2 linked regions of the Astyanax mexicanus genome follow. The protein of the gene in region 2 purifies or fractionates together with the protein of the main gene of each other region. This does not show direct contact. Links are inferred from orthologs where the notes say so. Each region holds a gene or a part of one and is shown on either strand. Other genes may lie near its edges. The genes, in order: bcar3 and bcar1.

The links.
Region 1: the proteins of bcar1 (region 2) and bcar3 purify together in Homo sapiens (co-immunoprecipitation; 4 studies listed by BioGRID and IntAct, counting the BioPlex papers as one, with this or other methods). This does not show direct contact. The link is inferred for Astyanax mexicanus from reciprocal best matches to the Homo sapiens genes BCAR1 and BCAR3.

What each region holds. Positions count from the first base shown.
Region 1 is NC_064419.1:45,427,055-45,438,329, forward strand, and holds the start of bcar3 (breast cancer anti-estrogen resistance protein 3), read right to left. Parts: upstream 4,577-11,275; 5' UTR 4,306-4,576; intron 1-4,305. UniProt on the Homo sapiens protein: Acts as an adapter protein downstream of several growth factor receptors to promote cell proliferation, migration, and redistribution of actin fibers.
Region 2 is NC_064416.1:26,067,862-26,079,792, reverse strand, and holds the start of bcar1 (breast cancer anti-estrogen resistance protein 1), read right to left. Parts: upstream 5,723-11,931; 5' UTR 5,151-5,722; coding exon 5,139-5,150; intron 1-5,138. UniProt on the Homo sapiens protein: Docking protein which plays a central coordinating role for tyrosine kinase-based signaling related to cell adhesion. Implicated in induction of cell migration and cell branching. Involved in the BCAR3-mediated inhibition of TGFB signaling.

The sequences.
Region 1 (11,275 bases), on a different chromosome or scaffold from region 2:
TGATAAGGGTGCCCATACTTTTGCACCGGTCAAATTTTGGTTTAATGCATATTGCACATTTTCTGTTAGTACAATAAACCTCATTTCAATCCTGAAATATTACTGTGTCCATCAGTTATTAGATATATCAAACTGAAATGACTGTTGCAAACACCCAAATATTTACAACTAAAAATGATTAAGATTAATAGGGGTACCCAAACTTTTTCATATGACTGTATGTATGTAACATCTTACGCCTGTCTCTCCCACATTCAGCTCCACCTGCGTTCTCCAGTCTTCAGAATACAATAACCAAAACGCACCATACATTGACATTACACCCTCACACAACCACATTACACTGCACACGACACTACCCGAAAGCCCATCACCCAATTATTGATTACACCTGTGCCACACAGTATAAATACACCTCCAATCCACTCACTCATCGCTGAGTATTGTTTGGCTAACCCCTACTTTACGACGCATTTCTGATTATTGATTACATTGGTTGAAATGTCTTCATACAGAACCAGTCAAAGGTCAAAAGTGTTAAATAAACCAGAATATGTTTTATATTTTAGGTTCTTCTAAGTATCACATTTATCCAGCTCATCCCAAATCACCATCTTAGTTCATCAGGTTTAGATCAGGGGATTAATGTGGAGGATTAACACTTTTCTGCTGTTTACTTAATTGTTTTTTTTTTGTATGTATTTAATATTAATCTACGATGCAAAAAAATAAACTACATAAAGAAATAAAAAAAAACTTTTAATGATAAGGTGTTTACAAACTTTTGACTGGTACTGTTTATTGGAAGAATGAACAGAGATACATGTTGTAAACCACTGTTTTGGAGTGTTTAAGGAAAATTATTCAAATCTTCCAACTCTAACCAAACCTGCCACTAACTCACTGGCAGCTGGCAATAAACTGCCATTGGCTGCCTGGCAGCTGCCACTCAAGCTGCACCACCTGTTTACTGGCAGCTACCACTCAATCTGCCAATTGCATGACTGGCAGCTGTCAGTAACAGCTGATGCCTGTGATTGACTGGCAGAACCACTGTAGGTACATTAGTATTATAAAACATAGTATTGCAATACTGCAATATACAATATATAGATAAATAATTGTGACATTATTTCAATATATCTTTAGATACTAAAGAGTAAAAAAGTTCCGTCTAGCCGTTCTGTCATTCTGTCAATCAGCTGGAACAGCAAACCCTCTATCCAAGGCCGGGTTGCCAGATTGGGTGTGCGTGCCTTTGCCGGGTTTTCTGCATGATTAGAGAGACCACATGAGACGTGAGCTCCCATCATGCCTCAGTGTTGTGGTGGGATGGGAGACTAAATGCTGCCAGAGGCTCCTCAGGTCTCTCTCGCTATCTCTACCCTCCCAAATCCCTCCCAGCATCTCCACCACACCCAAATTACTACCAAGTGCCCCCCGCCCCCGACGCCCCTCCGTATCTGCACTGCACATGCTCCACAGCCCTGGTGAACCGAACTCAGCTGGAGCTCCGTTCTCTCAGATTCTTATTTCTCTAATGGAAGCCGTTTGAAGCAGCTCGGCGTTACTGCAGTCTGGATCCAGTGCCAGAACTTTGATGAAGAGCCCAAGCTGGTCCAAGTTTTGCAGGAGATCCGCAGAAGAGCAACTCACCTGACCCCAAAGCCCAGGATGTAAAGGGTTCACTTATATAACTCTTTGGGTAGATTGCTTTATAACTGCAGTATCTCAGAAAAGTACCCAGCTATAACAGGGAATTTTATATGAACGTTTAGCAACTTTTTCTAAAGGTTCGACAATAGTTTGCATTGCAGTAGATTAGAACCTTTCTCAAATTTTAGATTGCCAGCAAGATGGAGGTTCCCATTATGGAAAAAAGTAAAAAAAAAAAAACTGAAGCTAAAACACTCCCAAACTAAAACTTAAAACACTGGCAAGTGACGCTCTAAAAACATCCAAAAACAGAATTAATTTGAAATATTCAAAACAATTCTACCAACCAAAAATTGCTAGCTATGTCACCACTTCTGATTATTTCTGCATTACTTTGCATCACTTTTCAGTCATTTAAAGTAATGAAACATACCATTCCTGCTGAAAAAAAGTATATAAAAATTTCCTAATCTTTAAAAAACACTTTTATTGTAGTAATTTCTGCTTCTGCAGTGCCCTCTCAGGTTCAACTGTGCTATAGGAGAACATAATGTGTCCGTGTACTTTGGTACGCAGATACATTACAATATGCAGATCAGTCAATCAATAATACCCCCGCCCCCCTGCTGACGTCCAACCGTCTGCGTCTCGCCGCTATCAGAAGCACACTGCTGCTGCAGCTCAGCCAATCAGCTTCTCTCCCTCCTGCCACATCTCTAAACCCATACATCACTCAGTTCCCCCTTCCAAGCTATCCATCTTATTATTTTGCTTTTTTCAAATTTGAGCTGAGGGTAGAGTCAGCTAAAATCAAGAGTTTAATTGCCCTTTAAGTAAAAGCTACAGTGTGGGCTACTATGTGGTGTACTAGGTGTACTTGTCACCTTTCCCAATTTGCAAATTATTGATTATTGTTTATAGTAAATGCAGTATCTCTTCTGAAACATGTCTAAAGGTTTGGGACAAAGGGAAATAGCAAGAGTGTGAGAGAATAGGGAGTGGTGGATTACAGTGGACAACAGAGTCTACATGGCAACCCATTAAACCCTAGGCTAATTATTGTGCTATTATTCCTAATAGAGAAACTATTGTGAATCATGGAGTTCCACAGGGTTCAGTTGAAGGGCCTATAAAAATGTAAAGAGCTGTAAGAAGTGTAAGTTTTACATACAGGATCTACCAGCTTAAACACTAAACACTAACAAACCTGATGTTCTGAAAATAAAGCTAAAAGCTTTTTAAATTTCAATAATCAATAATTTTGTGCACGCATTCAATTATTACAGCTTTGCTTTTGTCCGAAATAATTTAATTGAAAAGATTGAACATTTGAATATTGCAGACTGATTAAAAAGACAGAATAAAAAGGACTTTTAGACACAAACTGTAGGCAAAAAACAGAAAAAGTACAATACAAAGATAGAAAAGGGAATACTAAAGTAACCAATAAAAAAAGAAAATACAGCTCTGGAAAACAATTAAGAGACCAATTAAGTTTCTGAATCAGTTTCTCTGATTTTGCTATTTATAGGTTTATGTTTGAGTAAAATATACAATCTTGTTTTAGTCTATAAACTACGAACAATATTTCTCCCAAATTACTAATAAAAATATTGTCATTTAGAGCATTTATTTGCAGAAAATGAGAAATGGCTGAAATAACAAAAAAAAAAAAAGATGCAGAACTTTCAGACCTCAAATAATGCAAAGAAAACAAGATCATATTCATAAAGTTTTAAGAGTTCAGAAATCAATATTTGGTGGAATAACCCTGGTTTTTAATCACAGTTTTCATGCATCTCGGCATCATGTTCTCCTCCACCAGTCTTACACACTGCTTTTGGATAACTTTATTCTTTACACTACTGGTGTAAAAATTCAAGCAGTTCAATTTGGTTTGATGGCTTGTGATCATCCATCTTCCTCTTGATTATATTCCAGAGGTTTTCAATTTGCTAAAATCAAAGAAACTAAAAATCATTTTTAAGTGCTCTCTTATTATTTTCCAGAGCTGTAGGTACACACATATGCATTACTGAAATGCTTTAGTACAGCCTGTTAGTGTATGCTTATCTTATAGTAAAATAGCAGCATAATACTCTAATATTTAGACATTCATAGTTAGTCCACTTTTTCCCACTTTTTGATGTTTAAAGTTTTACCAAACGCTCAGTGTTCCTAAAAGTGTTAAGGTTAAGATTAGGATTAAGACTAAGGTTAGACTGAGGATTATGGAATACACTGAAGAGATGAGTAGATCACATTCAGTATGTAGTCTTTTCCATATGAATTACTTTAGTACATTACAAACTACTGCCTCGTGACTTTTAGCATGCCAGTTTATGTTTATATCTAATAAGAGCATATCTGTATAATAAGAATTAGACATTTTTGGGTCACTCTATTTGAAATACCCTTTGTTTTTAATTTTTTTGATGTTTAAAGTGTTACAAACTATCACTATTCTTTATTGCGTTAAATTTAAGATTAGGACTAAGATTAGAGGGGTAAATTGAGGATTAGGGAATACACTAAATAGATAAAGATAAAGAGATACAGATATTGTAATAGAGTGAAGAGTGAAGAGCTACAGTGGAACAGTTCAGAAGAAAAGTTTCCTCAGCTGTGATTGCTGAGTGCTGAACTTACCTCAGCAGTGCTGATCTGCAGGATTCAGGATGCTGCTGAATCCAGGTGAGCTCTGTAGATCTGCAGGTCCTCAGCTTCACTTCCAGCATCAATATTAATCAAACCAATCAGTTACTGAAGTGTACTGGAGAACTGTCCTACATCAGCCGGGTTCCCCTCACTGCAGAGACTGTGCTCTCCACTCCACTGTCCTCCACAGCAGCGCTGTGTGTGTGCGTGTGTGTGTGTGTGTGTGTGTGTGTGTGTGCACTCATCAGGCTGGCAGGATACACACTCTCTCTGCTCGTCTTGCCTCTCGTCTCAGCTCGTCTGCACTGGAGCGCATGCAGAGATGCTGACATACACAGCATTCCTCACCCAGCGCAGACACACACACACACACACACACAGCTTACACTCCAACCACACATCCATTATCATCTTCCATTCAGCCGCACTGGGTATACCTTCTCTGATTGACAGATTGAAATATATAGTAGATATGGTTCAATATCAATCAATTAAAATCCATATAAAAAATCCCAATAATTACCAGTCCTATCTGTAATCTGGAGATAATCCCGCCCCCTTAAGAAAGTACATTTTGATATCAATATCAGTCAGTCTGCCTCACATCGGACTTCCCTGACTCTGCAGTGCAGGGGCGCTCCCGCTCCCCCAGTTACTGATTGTTTGCACCTGACCTGTCTAGCATAAATACCCCTCTGTTTGCTCTGTTCCCTGCAGAGTATTGAATCTAGTTATCTATTTCTTCTACTATTTCTTCTACTCTCTATTATTGATTCAGTTGCTGGCCATTTTTGTATCATTGACACTTGCAGCTCAGTGCATGTTCAGCGATAAATAATATTTATTTCATTTAATATATATCCGCTTAGTATGTGGTGCTTACCACTTACTATCTGGTGCTCACCACTTAGAATGTGGTGCTCACCACTCAGAATGTGGTGCTCACCACTTAGTATGTGGTGCTCACCGCTTTTTTGGTTAAAAAAAAAATGCACCACGTCCCTTCAGGGGCTCCATACAGCATCATAGCAGTACAGAAAAACAGTGTACACCACAGTGTACTGAGCTTCTGTGAGTCCCTGTGAGCCTCTGTGGGTCTTGTATACACCACTATAGATTGCAGACAGAGTGGTGAACACAAACAGCACTGCTTTCACTATTGTCTTGTCACGTGGCAGCCAGCCAAGACTAACTCAGCTCTGCTTTGACCATTCTTCTGCAGATACGACCTTCTGCTGTCATTTCCTCTGCAGTCTGCTTATGCACCATGCCCAGTCCTATCCACATCTTCTTCACGGTCAGGATTATAGTGGGTTTTGTGGACCTGGAAACCCACCCAGAAGCACTGGGCACAAGGCAGGAATACCCCATGGACAGGGCACCAGTTCTTTGGCATCCTGCAGCACATTTACCCACAGATGTGTGGGTGAGCATTATCCTGCTGAAAATATCAGTTGAGTCACATTAATTACTAGATACTAGGGTTTAAAATACTTCTGTAGAAGTTGAAGTATCAACTCGAGCTTTTTACTCTTTCAGTAAAACTGTAAAAGTACTGCTTAGTAATATAAGAGGAAAAAATAAAGCCATTAAGAACAAAGATTAGGCCACGCCCACAAAGTCCTATAGTGCTCTACCCCCCAACCCCCCCCCCCCCTAAGCACAATATAATGTTCTATTAAAATGTTAATGCTACATATCTGCTCATTGTATTTTAGTAGAATGCAAAAATAGACGTGGTATGTGCAGGTGTGATGCATCACAGTATAAACCAATAGAGAGTCGGAATGGTATATGTTTATACTTCTCTACATCCAATCACAATCAATCAGATTCACTCTATCTGGATGGAGAGATTTATCTGGATAGGGGTTTTATAGAACAGGAAAGGCAAATTGTATTTTTCACACTATAAGGTTCACTTAAAATCCTTAAATTTTCCCAAAAATCACCAGTGCATCTTAGAATCCCATGCACCTTATGTATTAATTCTACCAGTCAGGTATTAAGGAGCAGTAAAGCCACTGAATGCTGAAGTAGTGTTACAAGGGTGACCATGCTTATAGAAAATCTAAGCTTAGAAGCACTTTACTCACCCAAATAAAGTTTTTTCAGGAAAGACATCTGTGTAGATTAACATCCAGGGCTTGTTTGACCTTTTTTTTTTAAACATTTTTATAGAAGGGAAACATGGTGAAACCCTTGTTCCTTACTATTGTTGCAAAAAAAATGCACCTTTAGCCCTATCCGGACGGGATAAGTTACTCAGGGGGTCGTCTGTGTAAAATATTTTACTCTTCTACTCAGTGATAAAACTCTTGCAAACAGGAGGACCAGTGAGTTTTTTGGCTGAAGGACATCGCGTTCAGTATCTCCTCCATTTCCACTCGCTGTTGTGTTTTTAACATGGATCTCCATGGAAACGTGTGCCCAAAGTACAATTACGGTGTGTGGCAGAGGACAAATAGCTATTTTATTAAATGCAATGTGAGTCTGAACTGGACTAAAGGTCCACGGAGTTCAGCAAAAAACATTAGATAATTCAACCTGTAATTTTCTCAGAGGACGTCTGAGAAAAACATGAATACATGGACGTTCTGGACAGGAATAAAATCACAGAGGATAAACCCCCCCATAAAAGAGAATAGCGATTTATGTATGAAAAAAGACCAGAAAATAGGCGTTAATAGAGCTGAATGGCGATGGCAAGTCTGAAATCATATTGTAAATATACAATAATAAATGTTAAGATAAAGAAATTTGTATTGGGTCTTTTAATAGCTGTTGCCAACACCAAACAGATACACAAGTTTTAAGCTGTTGGAGTGATGGGGATTGTAGCAGCTCCAGAGCTTTGTGTGCGGGTTCTCCTCAGCTCTCGCCTACAGTAAACATGAAATGTACCACCAACAATGCCACGTTTGTTTTGTGTCTCACTGGAGCCATTGTGAAGATATTTGTGCTCTCTCACTCTGTCTCACTCTCTCACACACACACACACACACACACACACACAGGGGATGGCTCTGCCAGTCATGTCATCTGCTACAGTCACTGCCTCACCAAACTGGCATGTCAATATTTGTAGCACCAATTAGGGCCTGGCGGAGAGAAAGGCGCGATTGTGCGCTCACTCGTGCGCTCATTACTGCCTGCTGGAGCTGCCCGCTGGAGCTGCCCGCTGGAGCAGGGCATTCAGAAGGAAACCAGAGATGGCACGCCACTCCTTCTCATCGTCTCACACTGAGGAAAAGCCATTAAGCAATGATAACAGAGCACGTCCATCCACAGGCTCTACCAAGCCCTTCATCTCAATCTAATGACACTTTCTCAAAGCACTTCCATACAGCAGCCTCGTTTATAGTAGTGCTGGGCCTGTGATATAGAGCTTAGCGTCGACTACTGTTACAGTTTGGCTCTTGTTATAGAGAATCTCAAAGGGTATTCTTTTTTTGTCCCAGTTGACACTTTAATTTTAACCATATGAACCCTAATTTTATTATTCTACAATCAATGACAATGTGGAAACCGCATAATACCGTATTTTTCTCACTATACGGCACACTTAAAATCCTTTAATTTTCCCAAAAAATGCCGGGATGCCTTATGTATGAATTTGACCAGTCAGTAGCAGTAAAGCCACTCCGCTGAAGTACAGCTTTATCCAGGAGTTTCAGCTAGTTCTCCAGCACTGAGGCTAGAGTAGCATTAGCATTAGCCGCTAAACGCTATTTTCCCCGTTCAGAGGTGTGTGTTATCAGACTGTAAACTGCTCCTAACCCTGGCTAGCACTGCTGGAGCAGCATTAGCATTACCCGAACTGTATCTACGTGTTTACCATCTTAAAACAAGCTACATAGGACTACATGCTAGCTGATATCGCCCTGGCTTTCCAAAACACTCAGGGTTCCTCTGTGTAGCGCTGTCAGCCAGCACAATGCTAATCCTCCAGCCTTAGTGCTGGAGAAATTTGTGAATTTAAGCTTACTTAAATTAAACGGAAGTGCTTTACTCACCCAAATAAACAATTTTCAGGAGAGAAATCTGTGTAGATTAACATCGAGCGCTCGTTTAACTTTAAAAGAAAGTCTTTTTTAAGATTTACAGTTTTGTTTACTTAGCTTAGCTTTACTTAACTTAGTTAGACGTTCCTTATAGTGCCTCTTAAAATGCGCCTTATATTTGAAAATAGACCAGAAAATAAGTGTTCATTGTTATTGCGCTTTATAGTGCGAAAAAACAAACAAACGGTACTATAATTTATTTTGTAACAGTTTAGTGTCTATTGTGGAGTTTCCACAAGTATCTATTTTTTTTTTTTTGGGTCTATGAAACTGATGCTAATTGTGATGGAATTGCAGTTATGAGTGTGGGCTAATATACAGGATTTAATAAGTAAATAAAAAACTTAAAACATAAAAGCACACCTTTTTTATGAAGGTAATTCGTTTTTATTCTATTATCTGTTTAAAGTGCAAAAGAAAATACTTAAAGAGCTTTTTTATTCTAGCTTTCACAGGTGATGGCTGTATCATCAAAGAGGGAGAAAGAGAGATACAGGGAGCAGGGAGAGAGATACAGACATAGAGAAAGAGAGACAGAGAGAAAGAGAGACAGGGGGAGATAGAAAGAGAGAGAGAAAGGTTGCCTCTGGACAGTCCTGCCCTGACAGGCAGTTCAAGCTCACAGTGAAAATCTGCACCCTGAGAACACAACACTGATCTCCTCCAAACACAGAATTCCTCACCATCCACACACACTATACTCCCTACTCTCATATCCCTGCCTGAGGTCACCATCACACCTGATCTGTTTACCAGTCAACATGCTGCTCAAACAATTCTGCATAACTGCTTAACATGATTAATTATCAGATTCTAAAGTGTCAGATTTCTCCTTCTACAGCCACAGACAGAGTTGAACATATGCAGGTAGCTGCGCCATTAAAATAGCAATGTGCCAAAGTCAGAGCACACCTGGCTCTTAAAGGAAATGGCAAGTGACACGCTGCTTGGTTTATTATTTTATTTGTTTTATTCCCAAATCACACCCATGATTAACTAAGAGAATTAGTAGATGCCTTTTGCACGTTTTCAGACGTGCAAGTTGTACTTTTCCCGTCATTATGATAGCAAAGACATGTTCATGCATTTTCAACGAAACAGTGCAAAACCACATGTGCCAGATATTAAAAAGGCATGGCTTTCAACCCTCCTGTCATTTTACGGGTCAAAAGTGACCCATTTAAAAGTTTGAAGATCTAGGAAAAATAGTTAAAAATAGTTTTTTTTTTTCAGTATAAAACTTCTTCTGCTTGCCTTAATTAGTGTAATCCACAAAACTAACATAAAACTAACAAAAACTAAAACAAAATACAAAGTTATGTTTTAATGTTATGTAAAGCTGTTTTGTCTAATATGTTGGTCTTTGAAAAGTAGTAAAGTAGTGAAACATTAAAAAAAAGTTTAACATGTTTTTTTTTTTTTTTTTTTTATTGAGTGACTATCCTGATTGAACCATTACCTATTAGAGGTAAGGAACACCACTGCACTAAATATTGATAGAAAATTGATGATAAAATATTCACTTTGCTTGTTTGGATTTTTTAAAATAATTATTGTTTCGGATATTATTGTATATTTAAACATGCACCGGATCAAATTGACCCGGGGACACCATTGCTGTTCCTGATAAATGTACACGACAGGAGGGTTAATTGTTGGAATAGCAATATTACAAAGCTTTTTTGTAAGGTGTTGATGGTCTGAAATGTAGGAAAGTAAATTAATAAATTATTTTTTAAAAAGTTAAGCAGGCAAAACATGAAATACCTTGTATTTATATTGTCAGCAATCAAAGTAAAAGTAAAATAAAAGTAAAAAATCCATTTGCATTTTCCTTCCAGTACCAATAAGTGCTGTCTAGGCATGGTCACACTGCAGCAGCAGCTCCATGTCTGTGCATTGTCCATGTCTCCACCATCTACGGCCCACAAGGCAGGTCTATTCACCACCACAGCCATCATTTATCACTCTCACTCACCTGCGTCTGAGCTGAATCACTGGAAACTGAGCCTGCTCACAATACACACGGAAACACGATCGATTATGGTGACAAATTAGGTCACAATGAGGTCATTCATACCTTTTCTGGCAAAAGGCAAGCAGTATTTAAACTGATCATAAAGCGATGCCTCATGAGATGGCTTGGAAATGCACACACCTGTATACATTGGAGGTGTTATCTTGTGAGCGAAGTCTGATAGATGTGGGTTCCATTTCTTAAAAGGGCACTAACCCCCATATTTCACCCTCCACCTTTAGCTTGAATTTAAAAAGGCTAAAAAAAAAACAAAAACAAAGGGTTTTTTTTTTGCGGGGCACTGGGTGATGTATGGGTTTAGGGGCGGGGCAGGTGGGAGAGCTGATTGGCTGAGCTGCAGCAGCAGCAGTGTGCCTCTGATAGTGTAGAACATACTCAATCATAAATGGTACAAATATAGTGTAAAATAAATAAATTAGCAATGGACATAAACTGAGCTTCGGAAATGGATTTTACAAACTATTTGTATGTAGTCACACTTTCATCATAATAACTAGAAAAAGACACAGATAAAACACAGAGAACTCTGTAACTATTAAAAGTATAAGTCTTTTCTTTATAGAAATTACAGATGAAGCCAGAGAGCGGTGAGTACTGTTTCCTACACCTTCAAAAGACTCTTGGAAACTGGAGAAAAAAAACTGCTACAGGAAGATTCACGTCTGGCTGACCCACATGGAAACAGCAGCTTTAGCCTTTAGCTCAGATTAACATGATTAAAGACTGAGTCTCAGTTTCAGCAGAGAAGAAAAGAATTAGACGTCTGACAGGTGAAGAACTGCAGGAATAAAGTCATTGCTTAGAAGAGAAATGAAAAAAATGCAGCTTTAGGAAATACGTAAATGCATTAGCTAATTAA
Region 2 (11,931 bases):
AATGGAGCCTGGCTGCATGACTGCATGACTCTAGGCAGGTAGGCACTGTTCCTCTAATAGCCCTGAAGCCGAGCATTAAGGCTTTCTGCTTAATGTGAGTAGCTGCTGGAGGCTAATGTATGTATTATGTACAGGATATGGATGATGCTCTTTCATTTATATACAGATGATGGTACACGCCTGTGCATGCAACAGGCCACGCATAGCCTTCGAGAAGAATTCTTGTGGATATGTAGGAGCCTCTGTAGCTATATAAAGACATGCTTAGCAGAAGAAGCTTGCACTATTTAGTGAAACAACATTTTAGTACCTCTGCAAGAACTGCAGAACTGGTGGTTAAATTACACAATGCTTCATTTACAGCCACCAAGGTACACTGGTTCATTGTTGTAGCCACTGAATAAATAAACTGCGAGTCTGAAAACATTTTATGGCTACCATGCCTTTCTCATAACTGTGAAGAGACTTAAACAGAGGACACACACTTACACCATTGTGGACAGTACACACTCTCCCTATTATGTAGTCCCTGCATGCTCTGCTACGCCGTGTGATGGAAAGTGAATCTTCGACAGAGTGGCAGTTTGTGAAATGACAAAGAATAGAGCCGGTGGTACGAGCAAAAGTGGTGAGAAGATGCAGCTTGAGATTCATTTTGGGTAGCGGACGTAAACAAAACTCTGTCCACTACGTACTTTCTCTCTGCTACATTTCAAAACCTGCTTTGTTTTCATATCACGCCCATCCATACCTCAACAAAATCTAAATATGTCTAAGCTGCTGCTTAAATCCATCACTTCAGGTGTACAGGGGTGGATCCTCACATTCTGATAGCAAGGGTTTTGTATAAAGTTGCAGTGGAATTCACTAATTTAATATTTTAAGTTGTTCTTTGATGTGTAATAGTAACTGTGTGACTTTGGTTGGGGCAAAAATAGCTCAGATGCAGTTTTACAAGCATATTTGCCCGTTACATGGACTTAAATAAAACAAATGTTTTCCTGTAAAAATAAAAATACAGAGCACAACATAGCTTTAGCACTTTCCAAATTTCCTTCTGTGTTCTTTGGGTTCTCTCAGTGTTTATTCAGCGCAATTTGCTGGTAAATAGCAGAAGAGACTGTAAGCAGTTGGCTTGGTTAGCTTCTAGCCTAGCAGCCATCAAGTACCCACTTACTTCCTCTGCTTAGTTAGTGGTAACTCTGAATCAGCCAATTCAGTAACCAAACCATCAAAACATCAATTAGCAATCTGACAAGTTATTGTTGCAGGTATATTTCATTTATAGTTGCTTTATTTGTGTTTTTGATTGGTGTTATTTAACGGTCTTAAATTTTTCCTTTAACACTTTAAACTGTCAGTCTGGCTTAAAGAGCAAAGTCTACTATTTATAATCCCAGTTTGGCTAAGGAAAGGGACTGAACTTGTGGACATGCCAATATAATTTTTGCTATTCATATTTACTGTTTTTTACACTACAAATTCCATAGCAATTTCCATTTTCTTTGCACAAAAGGATATTCAGTGTTTGAGTGTTATGATTGAAATACAATTATAGGTGGTTTACACATTGCAGCAATATACATTTTCACTAAACTCCAGGTGTACACCCAACCAGAACCCAATGTGATCAGAGTATGTTCCAATCAATCAGACTACATTGAGATGTTCCAACAGGAGATGGAGAATACAGATGTTTCGTTGATGTTTTTGCTGCAGTTTTCCACTTGCTCACACATTTACAAGATATGAAAGGCATCTGGCCAAATGGTAGTAAGATGCAATCTTGACGCAAAAAGCATGTTATTGCAACTCAATCAAGCTAGCACATGCACAGAGCTGTGTTTTCACCACACAGAAGATTCCACAATGAACAAATGGAATGTAAAAGATATAGGCTGATATATCTTCCCAAGCACATAGCCTGAAGTGGTGAACACCAGAGAACCAGGTTATACTTCCACATTACTTCTACACAGCACTCCACAAACCTCTGCAGCATTTATATTGGTTGCTACTTAAACAGACAGGACCCGAATTAGCCCCTCTCTGCCCCAAGGGACACCGCAGTCTGTTTCCCCCCACCTGTATTTAGAGAGGACCCACCCACCTGTGCTCTGACTGGCTAGCAGGTCATCCTCACTAACATTTTACTGCCTGTAAGCAGGAGGTGGGATTCTCCGGAAAACGGGCAGGAAACAAAATAAGGCATGTTGCCTTGCTCTGTCTCTCTGCAGGCAGAGTGCTATTTCTGTAATTGGCAAGCTTCTAAAGTTTTGTGTCCCTGAGGGCCACTCACTAAATCTCACACGGCTTGAGTAAAACGCAGCCTTAATGCTGCACAGTGGCCAACTGGTGCAGACTGGGACCAGCTGCCGGAATGGGGTTATCTACATATTCAAGATTCAAGTATTCCAATCTTAAATAGTCCATATTTAAGAATATGTAAGACTGTGTGACTATAGTCTACAAAGTATAATCATGATGTACTCAGTGCAGAACCAGTATGTATTCTAAAGAGTTTTTATAACAAGCAAAATCTAGACAGTCAACACTATATCACACACAGTATCACCAAAATGTAAAAAAAAAAAACAGAATGCACTGTAAAAAGTATTATAACCACACTATTCTATGATTAGTTTCTACATATAGAGTTTACACAGTGTAACCATAAGTTATTCCACACATGTATTAAAACGAATAATGAATGTCAGCACCTGAGAGCTCATTGTTAATGTTAACTATTTCAAATGTTTGTTGTAAAACCCAGTGGCTCAGTGAATGTAGTCATAATTTAAAAAGCACCTCTTTGTGACAAACAAACGAGCTCATATTTGGCATATACAACCAATGAGCCTCTTTCTGCCAATTATGTATTTGTTTGTCTCCGGGCTGGACAGAACACTGAATGAGGATTTGGCTTTTCCCTCTACTGTTGTCAGTACAGTGATTTATTTATGGGGGTTGGTACTGTATACGCAGAGTAATAGCTCTGGAAATCCAATCTCGTACCGTACTCTCCAGCTGGTATCAGCCAGTTTGCAGCATAACAACACCCAGGCCAGTTTCCACAGCAGATGAGAGATAACACAACTCCCTACAGGTCTGAGCTGCCTGATATGGGAATCACAGACACGCCATGTTCATGGAACAGCCTATTTGGCCCATTCAAAAATTAAATCATTAATATCGTTATCTTATTGAGTCGTCAATATGAATAATTGACATTTTCCACAATTTCGTGCCATAACACCAAACTGATTTCACAAAGCACGTCTAAACACAGGATTGTATTGTTTACTAAAAACTGTCATATTTAGTTGTTCTGTGATGTATATTTTAATTTTAAGAAACACAGGAATTTTCACCTAAAGCAAATCAACCAGCATGTAAATGTTATTAATGAAATATGTGTATCATTAGTTAGAGTAAAACAAATGATATTGGGTATATATAATCATCAATCTGTTAGATATTGTCATGTACAACTAGAATAGTATGATTTTTTCTTTGTATCAGCAAAAACATTTAAAAAATGTATTTTGCTAAAATGCAGGTAATATATTCACCTGAATATATTAGATCAATGTTGATGTACTGGTATTTATTCTTTTTAACAATCCGTTATAATAATTAATAATAATGCAAACTGAATGTAAATAGTAGCTATTATTACTGAAAAAAGTTAAACACACACTTGTCTGATAGTGAACAGTGTGGGCGTGGTCATAATATTTTAATCAATTACTATTCTAACACTCTGTGACCTGAACTAACAGTATGAGGGGTCTGTCCCAAATGTGTACTAATTGAATAACAGCATTGTAGTCAGAACCACCAGAGTCGAGTCCGAGTCAAAACCAAGACCAGGACATGTCAAGTCCAAGTCAAGACCAAGCTGGGTATACCGGTACACATATTCACAACGCATACATGGAACTGGTCAGCCTTTGAGTGTGTGTATATGGGCACTGGGTAAGCAACAGATTGACATGCAGGGTGTATGTTGCATTACATTTTGGTCATGTTTTTTTTTTTTCTTTTTAAATTTGACAGTGCAGAAATCATTGCACGTCCTGTGGTGTGACTATTGCATGTGTACATTGCGTTATCTGTACAGAAATTATATATTGCGCAGACCTAGTACAAACATATCAATAGGAAGACAGTGGGTTGTGTATAAATTGTGGTAAAAAGAAAACTCAAGCATTATTTATAGTGTAACCTGAACGTTATTACCCAGCTGGCACACAAGGGACCTTCAATGTGTTGAAATGTGGTTGAAATATGTTTGAAGTAATGTCTGTTGTTGTTTCAACGTTGGAACAACGTTGAAACAACATTTAGTGTTAAATAATTGTGAAAACTTTAACATTTTAACAGTAAATCAACATAATTTTTTCAACTTTCTGCCTTTTCTGTGTACAATTTAAAAAAACGGTTGAATGGAGGGATGAAAAAGTGGTTTAATTTCAATTTGCTGTGATTGCATTTTTATTTGGGCACCAATTCTTCATCATACCTTCATCATTCTATTTGTATTGTGTTTTTGAGATCAGATGTTGAATCAGATTGGTAGTGATGGTTTATGGTTAACACTTTGTTAATCATGTGATTTTTTTTAGTTTTAGTGAGCTAGGGTTTAGTAAAGTTTAAACGTACAACGCTGAAACAACGTTGCAATATCAATGTTGACTCACTTTTTAAAATCAACACCAAATAAAACGTTCAACCATAAACTGGCATTTCATCGTTAAAATGCCAGCTAGGTACTGGCTTATATTTTTAAGAACTGGTCAAAAAAGTAAAAATACCATACAAATGAGATATGTGGGAAATGTGAAATGTACAATCAATTCTAGAATTACTTGTTTAAGTGTACTGTATAGAATTCAGTACAGTAATATAATAACACAGTATGTATTATAATAAGAGCAGTAGTCCAGTAGGCTGATATCTATGTAAATACAGCAGGTAGAGTCTGTGGGGACTGTGAAGCTGAAGCTGTTTGTTAGTAAGGTGCTGGAGAAAGTCAGAGGAACAGCTCTCAGAATTCAGCTACAGTCAAGCAGAGCAGCTTCACTGTTCTAACAGATAAATAATAACAATAAGTTAATTTTATCATCATTTCTTACCGGTACAGACATCTTGTGGTCCTTCCCAGTCCACTGCAGCTCTCTGGAGACTGTACCCGACCAGGCTGCTCCGCTCTGGCTGTGTTTAAGAGCGCTCTCACACACAGAGAAGATACAGAGAGAGAGATAACCCCGCGGAATGTGTGAGCTGGTGTCGCGGTCGGTCGGTCGGTGGGTCAGTGCAGCTCTACTCCATGCTGTCCGCTGTATAAACCGGGGCTCCGCGGCGCTCTCTCTCTCTCTCTCTCTGAAGCTGCTGAGAGGTTAGTGTCAGGAATATTCTCCCACCCAGCAGAGCGCAGTCCACCTCAAACGGGAAGCGTTCAGAGCTCCAGTCCCTTCCTCCCTTCCACAGCCTCACCACCCGCACGAAAACACGAGCGAGAGACCCGCGCGCTGCCGTTACTGACCGCTAGCTTCACCGCTAGTTCACGCGCACACTCACTGACCGCGTGAGTACTGCGGCTGTGCGGAGCTGGAGCCTGTCAACTCGCTGCAGAGCCAGAGCCAGTCCCTCTCTCTCTCTCTCTCTCTTTCAGTATCTGTCTCTCAATATCTCTCTCTTTCTCAGTGTCTTTCTCAGTATCTCTTGCTCTCAGTATATCTCTCTTTCTCTCTATCAGCCTCTTTCAGTATCTCTGTCTCTCTCTCTTAGTTTCTCACTCTTTCTCTCTCAGTATCTCTCTCTTTCTATATCCCCTCTCTCTGTGTCTCTCTCTCAACTTCAGTTTAAAGGGACAGTCTCTTGCTATAAGCAGTGGTGTGGTTTCATCCACACCTTCATCCAGGCAGGAAACCGTACTGATTAACAACTCAATAGGAAATATCGATAAATAAACAGTGAAATCCACCTGATGCTAAACTCACAGGATAAAATATTAAACATTTCCAGTAAATTTTTAATGAACACAACACAGCACAGTCCTAAAGTGTGGCTAGAAAACAGTTAAACACATGTTTGACAGAGTACAGTGAGGGCATGGTCCTAATATTTTAATAAGTTAATATTCTAACACTTTGTGACCTGAACTGACAGTATGAGGGGTCTGTCCCAAATGTGTACTAATTGAATAACATCATTGTAGTCAAAACTGCCAAGTCCAGTTCAAATCAAGACCAAGACCAGGATCAGGATATGTCAAGTCCAAGTCAAGATCAAGTTGAGTATACACAAATATGCACAATGCATACATGGAATTGGTCAGCCTTTGAGTGTTTGTATGGGTCCTGTTGGACCATATATCATATATTGTTAAGCAACAGGTTAACAAGCATGGTGTATGTTGCATTTTATTTTGGTCATGCCTATCAACTTGGCTTGGTCATGCTAGTCATCCAGCTTGATGATTCTGGTCAAGGCTAATGAACCAGCTAAGTCTTGGTGATCATGCTGGCTGTGGACCACCAGCTTGGTCATGCAGGTTATGGTGGTCAACCAATTTGGTAATGCTGGTCATGCTGATAATACTGGTTATGCTGGTTGGCCAGCTTGGTTTAAATGGTCCTGCTGTGGAAGATCGGCTTGGTCATGGTATCTACCTTGTTTAGCCTGATCATTCTTGTAGGCCACCTAAAATATCAAACTCCAATAAATACATACCATATATTAGAATTAGTTTATAGTATTAGTATATAGTATATAGTCTACACCTTGTTGTATTAGGGTGTAATACGCATTTAGACACCCTAGTTGTTTCATGTAAAGTGAACTACACTGGTCTTCAAACATTTTAAGAGTAGTTTCGAATGTCAGGTGATGAAAAAACATTGAGTTGAAAGGAAACAAACTGTGCAGGAAGGACTGAACAATGCTTCATCACTGTGCAGGAAGTTGCAATAAACTTTACTAGTCATTGCATGTCTATTGAAGAGCATGCTCATTCGTGTTTGATGATGGGGTTTCAGAATGTTACAAATTTAGAATTCACCTTAGTACCACAGTTCCTTTCACTCACAACATGTTCTCAGTGTAGAGAATATAAGAGCACTGCTTATGCCATGTACACACACTGACTTTCAAGTGACCAGACTGCTTAAGGCTACTGCTCGCATTACACAACCTGTTGTCTTGTAATCATGAATTTTTAAGTCATTGTGGTTTATACAGTCGGGAGAACAAGTATTTGATACGCTGCTGATTTTTCAGGTTTTCCCACTTGCAAAGCATGTGGAAGACTGTAATGTTTATCATAGGTACTCTTCAACTGTGAGTGATGGAATCTAAAACAAAAATCCAGAAAATACATTGTATGATTTTTAAATAATTAATTTCCATTTTATTGTGGGAAATAAGTATTTGATACACCAGAAAAAGAAACTTAATATTTGGTACAGAAACCTTTGTTTGCAATTACAGAGATGAGACGTTTCCTGTAGTTCTTGACAAGGTTTGCACACACTGCAGCAGGGATTTTGGCCCACTCCTCCATACAGATCTCCTCCAGAGCCTTCAGGTTTCGTGGCTGTCGCTGGGCCACACAGACTTTAAGCTCCCTCCAAAGATTTTCTATTGGATTCAGGTCTGGAGACTGGCTAGGCGCTCCAGGACCTTAAAATGTTTCCTACGGAGCCACTCTTTAGTTGCCCTGGCTGTGTGTTTTGGGTCGTTATCATGCTGGAAGACCCAGCCACGACCCATCTTCAGTGCTCTTACTGAGGGAAGGAGGTTGTTGGCCAAAATCTCACGATACATGGCCCCATCCATCCTTCACACAGTTGTCCTGTCCCCTTTGCAGAAAAGCATCCCCAAAGAATGATGTTTCCACCGCCATGCTTCACGGTTGGGATGGTGTTCTTGGGGTTGTACTCATCATTCTTCTTCCTCCAAACATGACGAGTGGAGTTTAAACCAAAAAGTTCTATTTTTGTCTCATCAGACCACATGACCTTCTCCCATTCCTCCTCTGGATCATTCAGATGGTCATTTGCAAACTTCAGACGGGCTTTGGCTTGAGGAAGGGCACCTTGCGTGCACTGCAGGATTTTAATCCTTGACGGCGTAGAGTGTTACTGATCGTTTTTTTGAGACTGTGGTCCCAGCTCTATTCAGGTCATTGACCAGGTCCTGCCGTGTAATTCTGGGCTCATTCCTCACCTTCCTCAAGATCGATGCTCCACGAGGTGAGATCTTGCATGGCGCCCCAGACCGAGGGAGATTATCCGTTATTTTTGCATTTCTTCCATTTTCTAATAATTGCACCAACAGTTGTTGCCTTCTCACCAAGCTGCTTGCCTATTGTCCTGTAGCCCATCCCAGCCTTGTGCAGGTCTACAATTTTATCCCTGATGTCCTTACACAGCTCTCTGGTCTTGGGCATTGTGGAGATGCTGGAGTCTGACTGATTGAGTGTGTGGACAGGTGTCTTTTATACAGGTAACGAGTTCAAACAGGTGCAGTTAATACAGGTAATGAGTGGAGAACAGGAGGGCTTCTTAAAGAAGAAGTAACATGTCTGTGAGAGCCAAAATTCTTTCTGATTGATAGATGATCAAATACTTATTTCCCACAATAAAATGGAAATTAATTATTTAAAAATCATACAATGTATTTTTCTGGATTTTTGTTTTAGATTCCATCACTCACAGTTGAAGAGTACCTATGATAATAATTTCAGTCCTCCACATGCTTTGCAATTGGGAAAACCTGAAAAATCAGCAGTGTATCAAATACTTGTTCTCCCCACTGTACACGACTGCTGATCAGGGACAGGGTGTGATAAATTACAAACTACTGGAGTCAGACTTCCTGAAAGGTCCAAGTTGCATCCAACCATCATCCATGAACAGCATCATCCAAAAACACCTCACAGCGAAACCATTGCCTGAGGCAACACTGATAACAGTTATCTATACTGAATCAAATTTTCCAGTTTCTAATGACTTAGGTCAGAAGAGGTATATAGGGTCATGGAGATCAATGTGCAAACTAAAAGCTCAGTGTTTGCTGCCACAGTCTTTTGCAGTCACTTAATGATTCTTGACCACCTGCCTCCTCAGGAGTCTAGTGTCAGCCAGTAATAATGTCCTCTTTCTGCCTCTTTCTGCCACCATAAGGTGCAGCCAGTGAACTAGTGAAATATGCATCAGCTGTGTCTGTCAGAACGTTCAGTGCCATTGCTATCTTTTTGTATCCTTTTTCAGGTTTGTGCAAGTCAGTGGTCTTTTCTCTAAACCTTTTGATCTGATCTCTTTTCCCTTTCTAAGAAAATGTTAACATGCAGTCAAACCTCACAGCCAACAAACCACTAGCTGCTCCAAGTATTGGATGCTTTTGTACTAATAAACCTTGCAAGGGGTTTGAAATGTGTTCTGTCAAAAAAAAAAAAAAAAACCATACAAAATCATGCTACCAAATATTACCAAAGACAAAACACTATTATGTAAGCTATGGGACACGTTTATTATTTGATTAAAATATATACATAACAGAACTGGAGTATGAGAGATCTGATCTTCAATATGAATAACATTTTCTGTGACCATTTAATAAAGCCTGACTTTGCATGAAGTTATCTGACTAACTGCAACATTTCAGCTCATGAAGAACCCAGATTAGGTGCTCCAGACGTCAGTCATCTGTTTTTGTCTTCAGGCTGAAAACACAATTCCTGTAAATTGGACGAGGTCATTCTGACAGCTTGTAGTAGTAGATGTCAAAATTTGAGCACTCACTTTAATGAAGCTCTCACAGTGTTATGATGTCAGCTTGTCAGGATCGGCTGTATAATGCTTCCCATCACAAGATCATGCAGAGGGGAGCAATGTTCAGCATGATCGACAGGAGAACCAGTGTTTTTCAGAGCCAAAATGTCGTTCTTTATTTAACTAGACATTTTTACCATCTGTACCAGTAATTCACAGAAAAAGATTTCTCTGTTAGCTGGATGATGTGGTGCTCCTCCGATTGGACAAGACTGATTTAGTTTTAATTCAGTGCAACGTGTATAAAAAAAACTTTACATTCTTCTTCTTAATGTGATTTTAAAGTAAAAATTAAGTACAACAAACCAATTGCCTCATCTAACTTAATTCACACTAACTGACTAAATAACCTGTGTTGGCAAAATTTACAAATTGTAGTTGAAGCCTAGCTGAAACCAGACCAGTATACTCTGCACATGCTCAGTCTGACGCTGAAGGGGGTCTAAGCATTTGGTTGTACATTGATATTGCTGCTTGTGTGTGAACTACAGCCATTTTAAATAAAAATTAGACCCTTCTCATTGGCTCCTGGCAACTAAACGAAAGTTTTTTTTTTTTACTTTATAAAAAGTTCGAGTTGCCCTTTCCCTAAAAATCTAGTGCAGTAAGAAAACAAGGACTTAAGAAAATTGTTTAGGGCCTACCACGGCAGCATTATCTTTATTATTTAGTAATATTAACCTTCTGAACCCTAGATCTTTAATCATAATGAATAAATGCCTATAAGACATTTGCTAACAGTTAAGAGTCCCACAGGGTTCCATGATGGTATATATAAAATTGCTGTTATTTCACTGAGAATTGCAGAACTGCAGTTATGAGGGCAAAAAAAAAACTGAAGTACATGGTTTAACGGTTAAGGCACTGGATTTTAGAACATTACTGTAACCAAAAGACCCCAGAAAAGAAAGAAGAACAGAATAATGGTTATTTCACCAGATGTAGTGTATGGACTCTTTCACTCACCAGAGGCATCTTTTCCCAAAGATGATTTCTGACGGCAGCAGCCTTGAACACTGAAAATGGCTTTTAATTATACACTTAATCAGGGGCAGAAGGACAGGGGTTCAATTGTGACCTTCAAATAGTTGTATTATCCCTCACCTCCTTGCTGTAATCAGTACATTGTATGTTAGGAAGAACGCTGTACCTTTGGGAAACGTGAAATTAGTTTTAATAGTTTTAGCTTATAAATGTGCTAGGGGTCTGGAACAAGGGTTCAAACAGCTCCTGCCTCAGAAACCTCTTCCTCACTTCATTAAAATAATGCAGAGCTTCTGAAAATTTTAATATTTTCAGCTTATTTTTAAAATCTTACACAGCAGAATCTCAGAAAATTAAATGAAGTTGTTGTGTAGAGGCAACATACACTAGTGTAGATAAACTTGAAATCATATTTTTGCTGTTTTTTTTTTTAAATCGTTCATGTTTCAATGCTTGGTACATGTATGTCATACAACAAATGTCAGCAAGTATGACGTTGAAATATAATTCCGATATCATTGTGCATCTATACTTTATAGAAAAGAACATTATAAAGTACATGGGGCTACTGCAATGTGAAAATTCAACCATGGGATTAAAAATTGCTTGATCTATCCATCTATCTATTTTTTTGCTGTAAGTGCTGCATGGTGGGAAATCAAAATAAAAAAAAGCCTTGGGCTGGAAGACTACAGCTAACTGACTTCTGCACAGTTTGTTCATCTCAACGCATTAACAAATGGGGTCTCTTTACTGTGACAGAGGCCAGAGCAGAAGGAGCTGGAGCTGGAAGGTTAGTGGCATTTGGAACATGTTACCCTGCTGTTATTTTTGGCTCACTTTCCCGCGATTGTTTATAATTATCCTCGCAACAGTGGTGTCTATTTGTAAAGACCCTGGCCTCATTTGAAGCCCTGCACTTGGTGACAGACAGTTACACATGCCTGGATGTGAAGTTTGTGCCAAATATACATCAGGCATTCTAGATGACTACCTACAGATCCATGAGGCTGCTTTTATACACAGAGAACATGAGCATTCTGTTGCATTTTTACCCTAATTTCCACATAAATAAATTTCATCAAAGCTATCACTATTAATATGTTTC